Linked DNA regions of Xenopus tropicalis. The protein of the gene in region 1 purifies or fractionates together with the protein of each later gene. This does not show direct contact. Links are inferred from orthologs where the notes say so. Each region holds a gene or a part of one and is shown in the gene's direction. Other genes may lie near its edges. The genes, in order: cops9 and cul4b.

Region 1 (9,290 bases):
TCATTTATGCACAACTGAATATTTTTGCAATTTTCATATATAAAACCTTCTGGTAGCACTTACCTACAAACATAACATTATTCAAACAGTATGTGAGCCAAGGCTCCAGTGGAAACAGATTAGTCCCTTGTCTATAGTTTAGTCAGATTTGCACGCCGCATTCATTCTAACATTACCATCTTTTTCTTTGCAGGTCCTTATGAGGAGGCCCCTGCTCATCCTTACTGGCCCTACTCCACATCAGATTTCTGGCAGTATGTGGAGCATTTCCGCTCCCTGGGTGCATATGACAAGATAAATGATATGGCTCGCACCTTCTTTGCTCACTACCCTATTGGGGATACCCTTGGATACACTAGCCGGAACGAAGATGAATAGATGCATGTTATTCACCATGCTTATGCACACATACTTTAATGTACATACAGAGCACACACGATATATAGCTCGGGGGACCAATGCCATGGATGGGAAGTGATGAATACCCAAGCTCACCTACAAGCCTAAAATGCACCATCCCACTTATCCTGAGCATACCAGCTGGCTTTAAGGTTTCGGAGCCAAGCTTACTATTTTATAAATATTTGTTTGCTTTTACCCTTCAGAATAAAAACAATATATTTTGTAATATGCAGAGACTTGTTGGAGAAGAAGCATTGCAGCCATGTATTTTATAGCAATAAAAATGCTTTGGAAAGAAATTAACCTTATAACGGTGTGTTTTGTGGAACTGGCTCTTTATAACTCTTATAACAGTATAAATGATAGGATTATATATTACAGTTTAAACCTTTGCAGGTCATTGATATTCAGGTTATGATTATTTTACTGAACTGAAAGCTTTACAGTTGCTTTGTATAGAGCTTATATGTTGTTTATATACTGTATATCTCAGTGATCAAATGGCTGCAGCTGAGGCCTGAAGGGATTACAGAAATCTATAATGGCTCATATATATATATATATATATATATATATGGATTTATTTGACTTCCTTGTAATTTACGTAACCAAACAGTATTAGAGGTCTTTCTAGTGTTGTATTTGATCTATGCCTTCTGAAAAAGATCTTCCAATTCACATTGAGGAGAAACAAGAAGGCAGTTAGAAGGCAACACAAATAGTTTCAAGGGGCAGAAGTTCATGTAGAAGTCAATGGTAGATGTCCCTTTTACAACTGATCTTTGTTTGCTTCATGATTTTAGAGTTTTGCTGGGTTTTTTATGCTGGCTTTTATACAAAACAAAAAAGTTGGGTTTTCATTCAGCAAACGAAAAAGTCACAATTTTGCACATCTTCCATGTCTTTTTTCATTTGTGCTTTGTCAATTAGAGAAACTTTTGATAAATTACTCACAATTGTGAAATGGGTTTAGTCATGGTTTACAAAAACTATAAAACCATAAAAATACAAATTTTAATAAACCCCCCCATGTTTTTCCATTGGCGATTTACATTAGTCAGAGGTTTGTCACCTACAGGAGTTTAAGTGTGGGGCAACTAATCTTGTTTGTCCCTGGCCTTATGGTGATTTAGTGTTTGTAGTCATTTCCATGGCCTGGTATGAAACTGCTTGTCAGGCAACTGTGGCATCTCCACTTCATTTAAGGCCTTGAGACAACTAAGTCAGCAATGGAGCAAGTAAAAATTGCCTTGTCTGACAATGTCCTAAAAGGCTTAGAATAATAGTTACCCCCCCCCCACCCTGTGGTCAATATCTCAGTGATAAAATCATCTAATATATAAGAATATCAATATAATCCATGCCTATTATTTCCTGACACAGACAGATTTCTTCCTGCCTGCGACAAATCTCCTCTCAAGGCAACTTCCGCGACTCAGGGAAATTGCGGTGCCGCGTATGCCATCCACGGCGATTTACATTTTCGCCAGTGGGATGACATTTTGGGGAGATTAGTCGCCTGCGTCAAGGAAGATTTGTCGCGGGCGACTAATCTCCCCGTGTGCCAGAGCCCTTATACTAGTATTCCTTAAATTAAAGTGTATTTTTTCCAACGTTAATGAATTTGTATAGGTTGGCCAGGTTTATCTATTAAGACTGTTGATCAGAAATATGGTAATAACCAACCCACCCCTGAGGTTCCCTCTCATATTCTCTCAATTTTCTCAGATCAAGCATATAATTAAAGGAGACATATCCTATAAAAAATTATGAATGTACCAGTGAATTATACTCCTCTAGATATAGAAGGATTGTGCTTAAAAAGTTGTGTTTCAGACTGATTTATTGAGAAATTCCACAAAGACCCCACTAGCCCCGCCCATCTGTTCCACTTCCTGCTGGCTGAATTCTCTGGATGAGCTGGGGGGCCGGCGGCCCTCAGTACACTGCACTGTAGGATAGGAACCAATCAGCAGCTAGGCTGACCTGATAGGGAACAGAAGCCTGTCTTTGCTTGTGTGAGTACAGGGCTGTGATTGGCTATCCCCCTCCTACTGTGTTTCTGGCAGGGACCGTTAGGACACGCCCACTCTTCATTTCACACTGGACGGAGAAGTGAGAGGATCTATAGGGAGCTCCAATAAAGGGGCCATTGTTATCGATAGGATTAATTTTGAGCACAAATGGAAACCAGCACCGTATATTATTCATAATTGCCTACAAAATTAGGGTTTTCCCATTTATCCAATATGTCTCCTTTAAGAAATTGTTATTCTTTGGGCTGACTCATTTTTAAATAAAATAATGGATTTGTTGCTGTTGCTTATCAAGGACACTTGGAAACATATCACCCAGTTTATTGAAAGGCGAGAACAAAGAATGAATCTACACGGTTAAGACACAAATGTATGCTGACATGTAGAGCTACACACTGTATCACATGTGCATCTGTCAGTGACTCCTGTCTGAAGTTTGTCAAGATGCAGCAGAAGGAGACAATTTTTAAGCCAAATTAAGTTGCTAAAAATAGACCATTCTATAATATACTAAAAGTTGAATTAATTATGAAATAACTCTTTAAAGGAATAGTGTAAACAAAATATAAGTATTTAATTATAAACCTGGGTTTCTAACCTGTTAGGACTAAAAAAAATGGACGCTTTTGCTATTAAGTATAAATCGCCAGCCATGGTCCCCTTTCATACAGTAAAACTTCCCTTTGCATTAAAGTGGACCTGTCACCCAGACATGAAAAGCTGTATAATAAAAACCCTTTTCAAATTAAACATGAAACCCAAAATCATTTGTTTATTACCACATCCATACCCATTATAAAAGCATTTAAGAATCCCAGCTGTCAATCATATATTGCCAGTTACTTTCACTTTGAATTCAGAACTTCTTAGATGTTGCTGCCCTCCTCACATTCCTCCTCCTTCCTAACCATGTAATTTTGTAACCAGTGCATGGATATGGGCATCGGGTTCCCCCCACACTGGCACAGAAATAAGATTTTAGCAGGATGCAATGCCTGCTTTGATAACAAAACACCACAAAATGGCCCCTGCCTACTTGCTGCAATTGTAAATTCCAATACTGAAGAAAATAAGATTTGAATAATTTATATGGTGTAAGTAAAGTTTACTTTGCTTGACAAACACAATAGAAAACAATTTAGAATTATTTCTTAAGGTGACAGGTCCCCTTTAATATCACAGATCTAAAATTTTAAAAATAAATAAAAACCATTAATTCTAAGCCAAATCCTGGGTAGTGTAGCCTATTTTAGACTTAATCCAGGTCTATCAACAATTTATTGTTGCCCTTTGGGCAAGGGTAAATTTATTTTCTGATACTAAAAAAACACAGCAGTCCTCTTTATACCAGCAACTGAGGAAATACAGTTGTTTCACAAGCCACAAAACAGCCTTAACTAACAATTATGATGCAGGGAACATGGGAATGCCCCTCTGGCCCTCCTTTATGATATAGTGGTCCCTGAAGGACAATATTAATATTTAGCAGGTCACAATGAATGTACTGAAGTCACTGTAATCTGGTAAAATAGTGAAATAGTCTATCAATACACCCCTCCTACCCTACAAAGGCTGACACCTATACCCACTAAGATAGGCACTATAATCAAAATAAACCTAGGTTATGGCCAGTTTTTTGTGTAAGGAAGGAAGGCTGTAAGTGTAACCAACAGAGCTGCCAGGAACAAGAGGTAACTAGCTTCCTGCTATGGAACGCTTTATGTGTAAGCTGAGCAACCTATTAGTGAATTACTATATGACTATGCATATTGTGTATTTTCCCACACAGCTAAGGATCCATAGATGCATGGGGTGAATGCCCAATAACATCATAGAAAATGAGAGCTGTGTCACCCAAACGGTAGTTCAATATCAGCTTATGAGACATATTTTGTACAGTGCCAGTTTATACTATATTTTTTACACTCCAGGTGCCATTTAGCACATCCATAGGAAAGTCTGTCTAAAGCCTACGGCTGCCGGCTAGCCCAGTGTAAGCAAACGGGGATCCTACCCAAAGAGAGAAATTATAAGGTAAACCCTTTCACCAGACAGAAAAGCAGACAGGGCATTCATATTGTTTTATATTCACACATGCAGTGAGTCACTTCTATACACAGCCTTCCACCAACACAAGTCAAATCCACCCACTGCGCTACCGCCTTCCCTGCCTAGTAGAACTCGCCAACCCGCTTATTGCGCTTCCCCGTCCCTCTCTGTCACTTCCGCCCTACTAGCGTCACGTACGTCACATCACGTGGTGTGCGTGTATAAGCCTGTGCGCTGTACCGTCCGGCAGTGAGCGGTTCTACTAAACTACTGCTACAGTGGAAGTGGCGAAATGAAGCCGGCTGTGGACGAGATGTTCCCAGAGGGAGCTGGCCCTTATGTGGATTTAGATGAGGTGACGTAGGAGCGGCAGTGCGCATTACTATCCCGCTAGGGGCTTGTGGCGGAGTACAAATAGCGCAGATTTTTAGTGAGTGCGTTTGTAGGACCATAAAGATGTGCGCGGTGTTAGTGTGAATAGCTTTATGTGGGTACACAAACTGTGATTATGATATCATTTAGTACGGGGAAGAACCCATATAGCAATTGACTTCATAGACTTATGCGCTTGATCAGAAATCGGCTTTTTGTGCGCAAAAAATCCAAATGCACAAATGCTCCATGTCTCTGGCCCACAGGAGGAAACATGGAGCCAGAAACATGGAGCAGGTTAGTGCATAGAGATCCCACAGGGCCAGAGACATGGAGCAGGTTAGTGCATAGAGATCCCACAGGGCCAGAAACATGGAGCAGGTTAGTGCATAGAGATCCCACAGGGCCAGAAACATGGAGCAGGTTAGTGCATAGAGATCCCACAGGGCCAGAGACATGGAGCAGGTTAGTGCATAGAGATCCCACAGGGCCAGAGGGATGGAGCAGGTTAGTGCATAGAGATCCCACAGGGCCAGAGACATGGAGCAGGTTAGTGCATAGAGATCCCACAGGGCCAGAAACATGGAGCAGGTTAGTGCATAGAGATCCCACAGGGCCAGAGACATGGAGCAGGTTAGTGCATAGAGATCCCACAGGGCCAGAAACATGGAGCAGGTTAGTGCATAGAGATCCCACAGGGCCAGAGGGATGGAGCAGGTTAGTGCATAGAGATCCCACAGGGCCAGAGACATGGAGCAGGTTAGTGCATAGAGATCCCACAGGGCCAGAAACATGGAGCAGGTTAGTGCATAGAGATCCCACAGGGCCAGAGACATGGAGCAGGTTAGTGCATAGAGATCCCACAGGGCCAGAAACATGGAGCAGGTTAGTGCATAGAGATCCCACAGGGCCAGAGACATGGAGCAGGTTAGTGCATAGAGATCCCACAGGGCCAGAGACATGGAGCAGGTTAGTGCATAGAGATCCCACAGGGCCAGAGACATGGAGCAGGTTAGTGCATAGAGATCCCACAGGGCCAGAAACATGGAGCAGGTTAGTGCATAGAGATCCCACAGGGCCAGAGACATGGAGCAGGTTAGTGCATAGAGATCCCACAGGGCCAGTAACATGGAGCAGGTTAGTGCATAGAGATCCCACAGGGCCAGAGACATGGAGCAGGTTAGTGCATAGAGATCCCACAGGGCCAGAGACATGGAGCAGGTTAGTGCATAGAGATCCCACAGGGCCAGAAACATGGAGCAGGTTAGTGCATAGAGATCCCACAGGGCCAGAGACATGGAGCAGGTTAGTGCATAGAGATCCCACAGGGCCAGAGACATGGAGCAGGTTAGTGCATAGAGATCCCACAGGGCCAGAGACATGGAGCAGGTTAGTGCATAGAGATCCCACAGGGCCAGAGACATGGAGCAGGTTAGTGCATAGAGATCCCACAGGGCCAGAGACATGGAGCAGGTTAGTGCATAGAGATCCCACAGGGCCAGAGACATGGAGCAGGTTAGTGCATAGAGATCCCACAGGGCCAGAGACATGGAGCAGGTTAGTGCATAGAGATCCCACAGGGCCAGAGACATGGAGCAGGTTAGTGCATAGAGATCCCACAGGGCCAGAAACATGGAGCAGGTTAGTGCATAGAGATCCCACAGGGCCAGTAACATGGAGCAGGTTAGTGCATAGAGATCCCACAGGGCCAGAAACATGGAGCAGGTTAGTGCATAGAGATCCCACAGGGCCAGTAACATGGAGCAGGTTAGTGCATAGAGATCCCACAGGGCCAGAAACATGGAGCAGGTTAGTGCATAGAGATCCCACAGGGCCAGAAACATGGAGCAGGTTAGTGCATAGAGATCCCACAGGGCCAGAGGGATGGAGCAGGTTAGTGCATAGAGATCCCACAGGGCCAGAGGGATGGAGCAGGTTAGTGCATAGAGATCCCACAGGGCCAGAAACATGGAGCAGGTTAGTGCATAGAGATCCCACAGGGCCAGAGGGATGGAGCAGGTTAGTGCATAGAGATCCCACAGGGCCAGAGGGATGGAGCAGGTTAGTGCATAGAGATCCCACAGGGCCAGAAACATGGAGCAGGTTAGTGCATAGAGATCCCACAGGGCCAGAGGGATGGAGCAGGTTAGTGCATAGAGATCCCACAGGGCCAGAAACATGGAGCAGGTTAGTGCATAGAGATCCCACAGGGCCAGAGACATGGAGCAGGTTAGTGCATAGAGATCCCACAGGGCCAGAGACATGGAGCAGGTTAGTGCATAGAGATCCCACAGGGCCAGAGACATGGAGCAGGTTAGTGCATAGAGATCCCACAGGGCCAGAGACATGGAGCAGGTTAGTGCATAGAGATCCCACAGGGCCAGAGACATGGAGCAGGTTAGTGCATAGAGATCCCACAGGGCCAGAAACATGGAGCAGGTTAGTGCATAGAGATCCCACAGGGCCAGTAACATGGAGCAGGTTAGTGCATAGAGATCCCACAGGGCCAGAAACATGGAGCAGGTTAGTGCATAGAGATCCCACAGGGCCAGTAACATGGAGCAGGTTAGTGCATAGAGATCCCACAGGGCCAGAAACATGGAGCAGGTTAGTGCATAGAGATCCCACAGGGCCAGAAACATGGAGCAGGTTAGTGCATAGAGATCCCACAGGGCCAGAGGGATGGAGCAGGTTAGTGCATAGAGATCCCACAGGGCCAGAGGGATGGAGCAGGTTAGTGCATAGAGATCCCACAGGGCCAGAAACATGGAGCAGGTTAGTGCATAGAGATCCCACAGGGCCAGAGGGATGGAGCAGGTTAGTGCATAGAGATCCCACAGGGCCAGAAACATGGAGCAGGTTAGTGCATAGAGATCCCACAGGGCCAGAGGGATGGAGCAGGTTAGTGCATAGAGATCCCACAGGGCCAGAAACATGGAGCAGGTTAGTGCATAGAGATCCCACAGGGCCAGAGACATGGAGCAGGTTAGTGCATAGAGATCCCACAGGGCCAGAGACATGGAGCAGGTTAGTGCATAGAGATCCCACAGGGCCAGAGACATGGAGCAAGTTAGTGCATAGAGATCCCACAGGGCTAGAGACATGGAGCAGGTTAGTGCATAGAGATCCACAGGGCCAGAAACATGGAGCAGGTTAGTGCATAGAGATCCCACAGAGACACAAACATGGAGCAGGTTAGTGCATAGAGATCCCACAGGGCCAGAGACATGGAGCAGGTTAGTGCATAGAGATCCCACAGGGCCAGAAACATGGAGCAGGTTAGTGCATAGAGATCCCACAGAGACACAAACATGGAGCAGGTTAGTGCATAGAGATCCCACAGGGCCAGAGACATGGAGCAGGTTAGTGCATAGAGATCCCACAGAGACACAAACATGGAGCAGGTTAGTGCATAGAGATCCCACAGGGCCAGAGGGATGGAGCAGGTTAGTGCATAGAGATCCCACAGGGCCAGAGGGATGGAGCAGGTTAGTGCATAGAGATCCCACAGGGCCAGAAACATGGAGCAGGTTAGTGCATAGAGATCCCACAGGGCCAGAGGGATGGAGCAGGTTAGTGCATAGAGATCCCACAGGGCCAGAAACATGGAGCAGGTTAGTGCATAGAGATCCCACAGGGCCAGAGACATGGAGCAGGTTAGTGCATAGAGATCCCACAGGGCCAGAGACATGGAGCAGGTTAGTGCATAGAGATCCCACAGGGCCAGAGACATGGAGCAAGTTAGTGCATAGAGATCCCACAGGGCTAGAGACATGGAGCAGGTTAGTGCATAGAGATCCCACAGGGCCAGAAACATGGAGCAGGTTAGTGCATAGAGATCCCACAGAGACACAAACATGGAGCAGGTTAGTGCATAGAGATCCCACAGGGCCAGAGACATGGAGCAGGTTAGTGCATAGAGATCCCACAGGGCCAGAAACATGGAGCAGGTTAGTGCATAGAGATCCCACAGAGACACAAACATGGAGCAGGTTAGTGCATAGAGATCCCACAGGGCCAGAGACATGGAGCAGGTTAGTGCATAGAGATCCCACAGAGACACAAACATGGAGCAGGTTAGTGCATAGAGATCCCACAGGGCCAGAGACAAGGAGCAGGTTAGTGCATAGAGATCCCACAGGGCCAGAAACATGGAGCAGGTTAGTGCATAGAGATCCCACAGAGACACAAACATGGAGCAGGTTAGTGCATAGAGATCCCACAGGGCCAGAGACAAGGAGCAGGTTAGTGCATAGAGATCCCACAGGGCCAGAAACATGGAGCAGGTTAGTGCATAGAGATCTGAAACTGCTCTAACCCGACTAACAAATGACCTCCTTTCGGCTAAAGCCAAAAAACACTACTCGCTACTAATACTTCTCGATCTCTCTGCTGCTTTTGACACTGTGGATCACCCTCTTCTCCTCCAGA
Region 2 (9,356 bases), on another chromosome or scaffold:
TACCTTAAAAATATTAATGTAAAATAGCTCAGAACGCTCTTTCAAGCAATTAAACCGGTGTTAAACTGCTTATATAATAAAGTGTATTACAACTTTGCCACTTGCTGGTCAGTTTTTAGACTGCACTCTTTCAGAGAGGAATGTTCAGAAGGAAAAGAGACAACTGTTCAGATGTTGCCCTGTTTATAAGAGATCAGAAACCTCAAATAACTTCTTATGTCTTTTGTGAGCAGAGAAACATCTTTGCTTCTTTCTGAACATTTCTCCCCAACTGTACAGTCTGAAAACTGACTAGCAATGAAAAGCAACGCAATTGTTTTGAAACAAAAAAATGTTTTGTTTCGTTGGAAGGCTGCAGTTTGTGCAGCTCATCTCTCAAAACAATGTTAGTTTTCTAATAGTCATGGGAAATGACTGAAGATTTATTCTGCAGGGCTGCAGCCACATTCTACAAGGAACAGGAACTAGAAATTAAAAAGTTGTGTTTAAAGTGACAGTGACATCTTTGCATGTAGAAACAAATATTGCATAAAGTAGTCTAAGGAACCAAAGCCACTTCTATAGCCATGAATTACAATTCTACATCACTCTTTTTTATAGGAAATAACCATTGCTAAGAACACGGGGATAGACAAAAGAAAAGGTAAAATAGAAATATAAAAAATAGTGTCGCAGTTGGGGTAAATTTAACACACCCTGTGTGACACTGCACTCTTAGAAGTATTTAGCAGTAAGCTTTAAAAATGGCTGGCAATAGGTTCTCCCACAGCAATAAAATGTTCAGTTATAGGATGTGTAACTTTCATGGGATTAACGTTTAGTTGAAGCCTTTGAGGAAGTCCACGGGTCAAAACACGCCAGACTCAACGTAGAAATATTCACCCATTTTCTTTTTATTCCTATGGGATTTTTATAAGCAAATTTATCAAATGATGAACTCCAACTTTCAGCCATTGATAAACAAACTTCTAAAAAACCCGTATGAATGAATAGAAAGTGGGTGAATTTTTCTGTGGTGAGCTATATCATTTTACACTTTGATAAATCTGCCCCAATTATTTTTTTATTTTTGTTTCACTTTAAACTGAATGAATACAAATGTGAATACCCTAGAATTGTTGTTTTCAACAATGTCTAACAGAACTGTTACAAACAGTTTTACATAATATTCACTGAATGAAGAGGTCAGCAGAACCCGCAAAATTTTATGGTGCCAGATGATCATGTTCATCAGTCATGCAGAGATGACTGTGGATACAGGAGATAAGTAAAATTCAGTATTTGCAATCCAAAACTAAAAAAAGTTCTGGACCTAGGGCAGCATGATTTTAAGGGCAGCATGATTTTAAGGGCAGCATGCTTTTAAGGGCAGCATGCTTCCCAAGCCACATTTACTCTGGAAACTGGACAGGAGTGCAGGAAGATGCCAGAGGCACTTGGCAGGGGGAGTGAACAGTATAGGATGGAGCAAGATGAGGCTACAAGTGCCCCATCATCAAATTAATTACATTGGGGCATATACGTATAAGTTTATATAGCCATACTAGGATACGCAGTGCCGTACAATTTTACAATACAGAAAAGTACAACCAGGGAGAACAAGCATTATTGTAAATATCCAGCAATTAAGTACTATGTGGTACAAGACACAGTAGGGAAGTGGGTCCCTGCCATGTAGAGCTTATTGTCATCTATATCAATTGGTAACTTCTCATACAGCATACTTGTGTGTTAGCTCTTGTGAAATTTTGTAGCCCAGTTTGAAGTAGGCAGGGCTATAAGCTACCAGTAGCCAAAATTATTATTATTAACATTTATTTATAAAGCGCCAACATATTCCGCAGCGCTGTACAATAAGTGGGTTTCATACATTGGACATACAGAGTAACATATAAAGCAATCAATAACGGATACAAGAGGTGAAGAGGGCCCTGCCCAAAAGAGCTTACAATCTACAATGAGCATTAAAGTATACACAAGGCTCTTTAAGTTACCTGAAGGGGCTTTTTGCCGCCTCCAGTAACTTGCCAGGCAATACAGCCTAATGTGAGTTTCTCAACTCGCCTCATGGCAGCAACGCCCGTGAGTTCTACAAACACCTAGCTTCAACATTATTTGGGTATATATAGTTTATATTTGTAAGTGTATAGATTGGTCTATATAGGTATGTGTATTTTTGTGCACTGGGGTTTTTAGAGATGTTGAACTTGATAGGCTTTGGGCTTTTGTCAACCCAAATTAGTTATTTAGTTATATGTAACATCTCTATTAAGCTTTACCAGATGATTCATAAGTGCTTTATGCAGTGACCAGTGCTTGCATATCTGTTAAAAAAAAAAAACAATTGAATAGGGTCAAGTGCTGAAACTAAGTATGAGCATACACCTTTTGGTGTGCTTAACATGTGTTGTTTTTGCTGGTGTTATAACTTGTATGCAGGCTCACAAGCACATAGAGAACCCAGAATAGCTGCTTTATAAAAAAAAAACACATTCAGCCATTGCTTTCAGTCAGAATCTGGTATACAGCTGCGTAATCCAATGGGAAGCCTTACTCTCCCAGAGATTATTATATCACCCAAATTGACCACTTTGTATGATATAAGTTTATTTTAATCTGGCACTTAAATGAATAGTGGGGTTAATATATGTACTTTTCATCCCTGCTATACACGCCATTATACATTGCTTTCAGACACAAACTTCATGTTTGACGCTTACTGAGTAGTAGTACTGAGTAGTTACTGAGGAGCTTCCACAAGGAACTCATTTTAAGCGGGAAGCGTCACACGCAACTACTGGCGCTCTCCTTTATGTAACTATTCTAAGCCTCTCCGGCCCCCACGCTGCTGAACAGGCGGTACCATGTGGAGGCATCAGGGGGAAATGTCACCCAAACCAAGCTGATTATTGGTCCTTATTCCCTTTAGGCGTCACTACAGAGGCGGGAATATTCAACCCTCGACTCCTCCCCCTCGAGTAGTTTCCAGCCTCAGCCCCTTCCTTCCCCTTGTCGGGACTCCTCGCCGGCACCAACCTAAGGCGGAAGCTCGGCGAGGAGAAAGGGGACGGATGAGGCCCGCACGGTCGGGCATTATGAAAGACCTCATCGCTAGTCCTTCCGGTCAGTCAAAACAAGGTACGAAGGTTGCCATGACATCACAGTAGAATAAAAAGGGGAGGGGAGAGAGGGAACACAGCCAGCCTTTCGCGCTATAGTTAATGCAGTAAGCGCTACCCCTTTGGTTTTGATAGTTTGGCAGCAGCTGGCGTCAAAGGCTCCCTGACTGTCCCGGCTGGGAAGGGGTGTGGGCTCACGGCAGCCTCCTGGGGAACTCTTCCCAACATGCACTGCGAGAGGAAGTGAGGCCATCTTTGGTTCCCTGCTCTTGTGACAATAAACAAGAAAAAGAGTGGGGATATCCGGAGAGCGGGGCCGGGGCCTTCACCGAGCAGAACTAAAGCAGAGTGCCTGCCGAGGGGGCCACTGGGAAGCGCTAACCAAAGGGCCACGTTAGCTGTTTGTTGCGGTCCCCACACGATCCAGCGGTCACACACAGTCTGGGCTGCCTTGAATCTTTTCTATTTGTGGTGTTTTCATGTTTCCCACAGGCTTATCAACCCCCAACCCCCCGGCGCAGGAGGTAAGGACTGAGGGAAACAGCACCTCCAAAAAGAGAAGGTTGAATATCAGCAGCAGCGATAAGGACGATTTGGACCCCCTGTCGCCCCCCAGAAACTCCTCTTCCTCCTCTAACCACATCCAAAAGAAGCTGCGTTTTGAAGACACTTTGGACTTTCTAGGACTCGATGTGAAGATGGCCGAGGAGTCTCCTTCTTCTTCCTGCTCATCCTCCTCTACTCCCCAGGCAGTGAGGAGTAAAAACCTGCTCATCTCCCCAGTGGGCGTTGGGCATCATGCCAATGGCCTCACAAAAGCCTCACCCGTGTCCAGTTTTGCCAACAGCAAGCCTGGCTCAGCCAAGAAGTTAGTCATCAAGAACTTTAAAGGTAAAGAGGGATGGCACCATTCAATCAGCTCTTTGATAGGTCACTTCAGGGAGTGTAATACTTTGACCAGAATGTGCTTAAGGACCAGGTGATTACAAGGGTGCTCTGGTCAAAATAAAATCTCCTTTAATTTGGAATTCAGAAACTAGCATGCTGTCTTGTGTCACCCAGTAGTTTGGGGCAAACGTTTGCCTGTTTGGTTTTTTCATGATGGTAAAATTACAGTTTCCTTTTGGCGTTATTTTATTATGGTTGAATCTATCTGGAATGGCAGTTTTGACTTCTAAGGGCTTGTGTATTGATGCACTCCTAACCAGCATAAAGCCAAAGTGTTTTAAGCTGGTAATGCTTGATTCTTTCTATAGGGATCCGCAATATTTTGGAGCACTTAGGGGATTTGATGCTTGTTACAAGCATTCCTGTTTGACCCAACCAGATCTGTGTGTCAATACTAAGAGCGCTACAGTTAAGGGATATCTTCAATGCAAAGGCAATCTTTTCTATTAAAAAAAAAATCTTTGTCACAACCGATCTAAGCTGCAGTGTCAATATTCCTGTGGGACTCATTGGCCAAAGCCATTTTTTTTTTTTTTTTTAGTATCTCATGGGACCAGTGCCAAAACACTGAAAATCTTTCTTCAATGTCCACTTCCAGAATAATTTGAAAGTGAACACTGTTTATTTTAGGCATTTGTCTACACACAACACACAAATCATGCTGGTGTTAGTGAAGCAACATTCAGGACTAAACTACACGGGAGCTTTTGTAGGATGGTTTCAGATCAACAGAAAGCATCCTTGCCCTTAGGGCTCTGGCACACGGGGAGATTAGTCGCCCGCGACTAATCTCCCTGAAATGCCATCCCACCTGTGTCTCGGGCATACGGGGTGGCGCGATTTCAATGAAATCGCGCAGGTTTCCTCTCGAGGCAACTTGCGCAATTTCACTGAAATCACGCCGCCAGCGATTTACATTTTCGCAGGTGGGATGGCAATCTGGGGAGATTAGTCGACCGCGAACAGGGAGTTTTGTTGTGGGCGACTAATTTCCCCATGTGCCAGAGCCCTTAGACAATCTGCTAAATAACTGTTAAGGTGATAACTGCAACACTTTACACAGATTTGTGAGGCTATTCACCATTTACTAACATGGCTAATCAGAATCAGGTCAGGCTGGTTCATTTTGGGCCCACACAGAAGTGTGTTTGTTGACATTTGCAAACAGATTGTTTAGTGGTATCAATGTGGCTTCTGGCCCTGATCTCTTTAGGGCTCTGGCACATGGGGAGATTAGTTGCCCGCGACAAATCTCCCTGTTCGCGGGCGACTAATTTCCCCGAAATGCCATCCCACCGGCGAAAATGTAAATCGGGATGGCGCGATTTCAGTGAAATCACGGATGTTTCCTCAAGGCAATTTCCGCGATTTCACTGAAATTGCCCTGCCGCATATGCCATCCCACTGGCGATTTACATTTTCGGGGAGATTAGTCGCCCGCGAACAGGGAGATTTGTCGCGGGCGACTAATCTCCCCGTGTGCCAGAGGCCTTAGTGCAAAGTGGGGGAATTTAATAATTTCTAAGAAATTTCTATCAGTTATTGGTGCATGAGCATTATGCAAACTGCAATGCATGTGCACCAGTTGCTAAGTGGGGGGGGGGTAAACTAGGCTGGTGCCTAGGATGGCACATGACCAATATACAGCCCTGGGTATGCCCATAATAAATTTATATATAAAGGTTTAGCTGATGCAGCTAAAATAAGGTAGAAACTCAGGAAATTGTGCTGTTAGTTTGCCTTTAAAAAGTAGTAATTGTATGTAAAAAAAAAAAATTACTCTGTTTTGGCAAAAGACCTTACCAGCCTCTTCATTTTTTTGTACAACTGGTATTAAGTGCTTGTGATTTTTTCTGATATACTAATAGTACAACTAATCCTATATCAAACAGACACAATGCACACCTAAATTGTAGTACTGTTTCATATACAGGCTTGAAGTAGAAATGAAGGAATTCTCGGCAAAAGAACTTGTCTGCTCATACAGTATAAAGGAGCATTGCCACATTTATTGGTAAACGGTGATACAAAGAGCAACAATACACTGTTTACTGTTTACAAAGGAGTATTATGTATGTCTATGTATTTGCAGTGGCAAACCTCTGCAGCACCAAGGGATACTTGCGTTTTTTTTTCTGGCTTTTTATAGAGTGGTTGTTTTTTTATTCTGGGGTAATGGGAAAAAAATGTATTAAGTACACCTGTCAATGCCATTGAGACACTTCTGTAACTGACTAGGAAGCATCTTCATTCCTTGGGAGGCTACTGTCCCTATGACCTGCAAGGCAGATATGTTAGGACACACACAGGCAGCTGTTTAGCTTGCTAAGGGTGTCAGAAGTAACATGCTGTGGGATCATCTGCAACACAACCCTTTCTCTCTGAGTTCTAGTAACAGGTGAAACCTACTCAATCTCCACTACTTACTAGGACCACAGGTGGCTCTGCTGTGACATTGGCTTTATTTAAATTCTGCCTATAACAGCCAGTTATTAATTATGCCTGCAGCTATACTCAGCACTTAAAAACATTGCAGTTGTGTTTTTGCCAAGCTGTGAATTGCTAAGAATTATTTAGTAGCACCCACGTGAGTTGGAGCGGACATAATTACCTGCAGATCACAGCTAGTATCAGCCAGCAAAAGTGTACCTGTGTGTATAATCCTCTATAAAACAGTACTTGGTGTTATCGAGACTGAGCTTGCCCATGAAACTAATCCATCCTTTTTTTTTTTTTTTTTTTTTTTTTTTAACATATTTGGAATGTTGATGCCTGAAGCAGAAACTAATTCTAACTTCAACTGCAGCTAAAAAAAAACTGAACTGGAAAACTGCTCTCTAGGTGCTGTGAAATAAATTACTTTTTGCTTCAGTCGCCAGGTCTCTGTACAGGGTAAGAAGATGTTACACATGATGTGTTGCTGCTGTAAATTTCCCATGTGAAGTTGCTCAAAGTTCCACAGGTTACCTTGCATTTCAAACAGATGTATTAAAACGGCTCATGCTCTTGTTTTATGGCTTATAATCTCACCCTGTGCAATATCTGCTGCTCTTCCTGTATTATAGGAACTGATTGTGATCAGTTTCCAGGTTATTCATTTTCTCTTGAAAGTTTAACTGCGCGGTTGCTTCTTCTCCATAGAATGTGGGTAAATACGTTTCAGACCTTGCAGGACCTCTGCTTCTTGTAGTAGTGCTGTGGTTTCCCTTTAGGTACAGCGAAGTTAGATGCTGCTAACCAAAAGTAGTTTGGCTTCTCCAAAAGTAACACTGTTTTCAGGTATAAGAAAAATGTATTGACTATTACAGGTATGGGACCTGTTATCCAGATCACCATTCCTTAAGTGTACTAAAAATGTTTTAAACATTAACTAAAACCAATAGAATTGTTTTGCTTCCGCTAAGGATTAATCATATCTTATTACAGAGAAAAAGGAAATTGTTTTTAAAAAATAAAATCATTGATTAAAATGTCTGTGCAGGTATAGGATCCCTTATCCGGAAACCCATTATCCAGAAAGCTCCGAATTACAGAAAGCCTGTCTCCCATAGAATCCATTTTAATCCAATAGTTCAAATTTGTAAAATTGATTTCCTTTTTATCTGTAATAATAACACAGTACCTTGTATTTGATCCCAACTAAGATATAATTAATCCTATTGGGTTTAATTAATGTGATTTTGATTTTTTACTCGACTCATAAGCCATCCCACCTGCAATTTACATTCTTGCCGGCGGAATGGCATTGTGGGGAGATTAGTGGCCCGCAACATACCTTATGGTAAAGACCCCTTATCCAGAATTACCTTGGTCCCAAGCATTCTGGATAATGGGTCCTATACCTGTACTATTATTTATATATTCAAATAGTTTAAGCTAAAGCTCTTTACAGTCTGCGCTAGTGAAATTCTGCCACACTCTGCATTTCTCAGGAACCTCCTTTTGGGGGTATTTTGAAGGCAATTGTACCCTCTGGCACTCCGTAGTTCTACCAATATATATTAATAATCTTAGATAAATAGAAAGTGAAAATAGGCGAGACATGCTCTATTTAGTAAATGAAAGTGAAAATGAGTGAAAGTAGTATATTTGGTATTCAGAAAAGTGTAAGTAGCTTGCCATGGTAATGCTTGCAAGACTAAAGTAACATATATTTAGGTACGTAGTACTCTACCTGCTAGTGAGAGGCAATAATTAGCATCTACCTGTATTATCAACTGCTTCAAAACCAATGATCAGTCTTTGCTTCTAACATTTGGGACAGTCTGCTTAAGCTTTTGGAATATATCCATGCACAGTTACCCATAGACTTGCAAGACACCAACCAATTAAGCAATTCTAAAACAAGTGGATGAAAGGTTTAAAAACACCTGAAACGACCCCCCAATCAGCTATGGTACAAGGGCCCCTGTCTTCACTCTGGATATTAGCAAGTAAAAAACACTGTATTTGGCACATGCATAGTAGTCTTTCATATTTTATGTTATACTTATCAGACAGGTTTCTGGAGTGTCCCAAGATTTGATTCTGTTTCTCTGACATAATTCATTCACTTAGATGGAAACTCATTTATTTTTGCCATATAATTGATTTTGGTGCCCATAGCTCTTCAGTTTGTGCCATTATGCTCCCATAGGCTGCTAAACCAGAGTCTTTATAGCACCAGTTTTAGGTTAATATTAATCCAAAAGGTATAAACTTTTGTGTATGTGTGGCCCTTCAGAATAGTCTGTTTGTCCAATAAACCCCTGATTTGCCATTTTATATTCCAAATTTCCGATTTGCAATTAGCCTATCGGGAGTGGACTGCATTAATGCACTGATAAAGTATTCTTCTAACGTGGTCTTTTTAACCTGATCAATAGATATGTCTGATTTTGTTTTTTCCAGTCGGGCAGGCTGTCAGAGAAGCCCCATTCATGGGCCAGTAAGATGCTGACTCTGGAGGGGCTGAATTGGCAGTTTTTATCAACCCATGTATAGCCACCCAAAGTAAAAAATTATTGCTGTCCTGTCTTTATTGTCAGAGGCCAGAACATTTTTCCAATGCTACATCAAGTGGTTATACATGCACTTGTGAGCCAAGTTTTGCATTACAAAGGATGTAAACTCAAAAATAAATTTTTGCGTAATGAATGGAAATCTAATTAGAAGCAACTTTCCACTCCATTAAAAATCTTCAGTGCTTTGAAAGTTTTGCAAATGTAATTGCAACTAAAGCAGCAATGGTAATGTTCTATTTCAAAATAATGTAGTAAAATCCAGTTTGCTTGCGTCAACAGGTCTGTT

The links.
Region 2: the proteins of cops9 (region 1) and cul4b purify together in Homo sapiens (affinity purification with mass spectrometry; 3 studies listed by BioGRID and IntAct, with this or other methods). This does not show direct contact. The link is inferred for Xenopus tropicalis from reciprocal best matches to the Homo sapiens genes COPS9 and CUL4B.

The regions. Positions count from the first base shown.
Region 1 is NC_030681.2:127,439,145-127,448,434, forward strand, and holds the start of cops9 (COP9 signalosome complex subunit 9), read left to right. Parts: upstream 1-4,688; 5' UTR 4,689-4,779; coding exon 4,780-4,842; intron 4,843-9,290. Other genes in the region: otos (otospiralin precursor), read left to right, coding at 194-378.
Region 2 is NC_030684.2:46,088,526-46,097,881, reverse strand, and holds the start of cul4b (cullin-4B), read left to right. Parts: upstream 1-3,406; 5' UTR 3,407-3,598; coding exon 3,599-4,010; intron 4,011-9,356.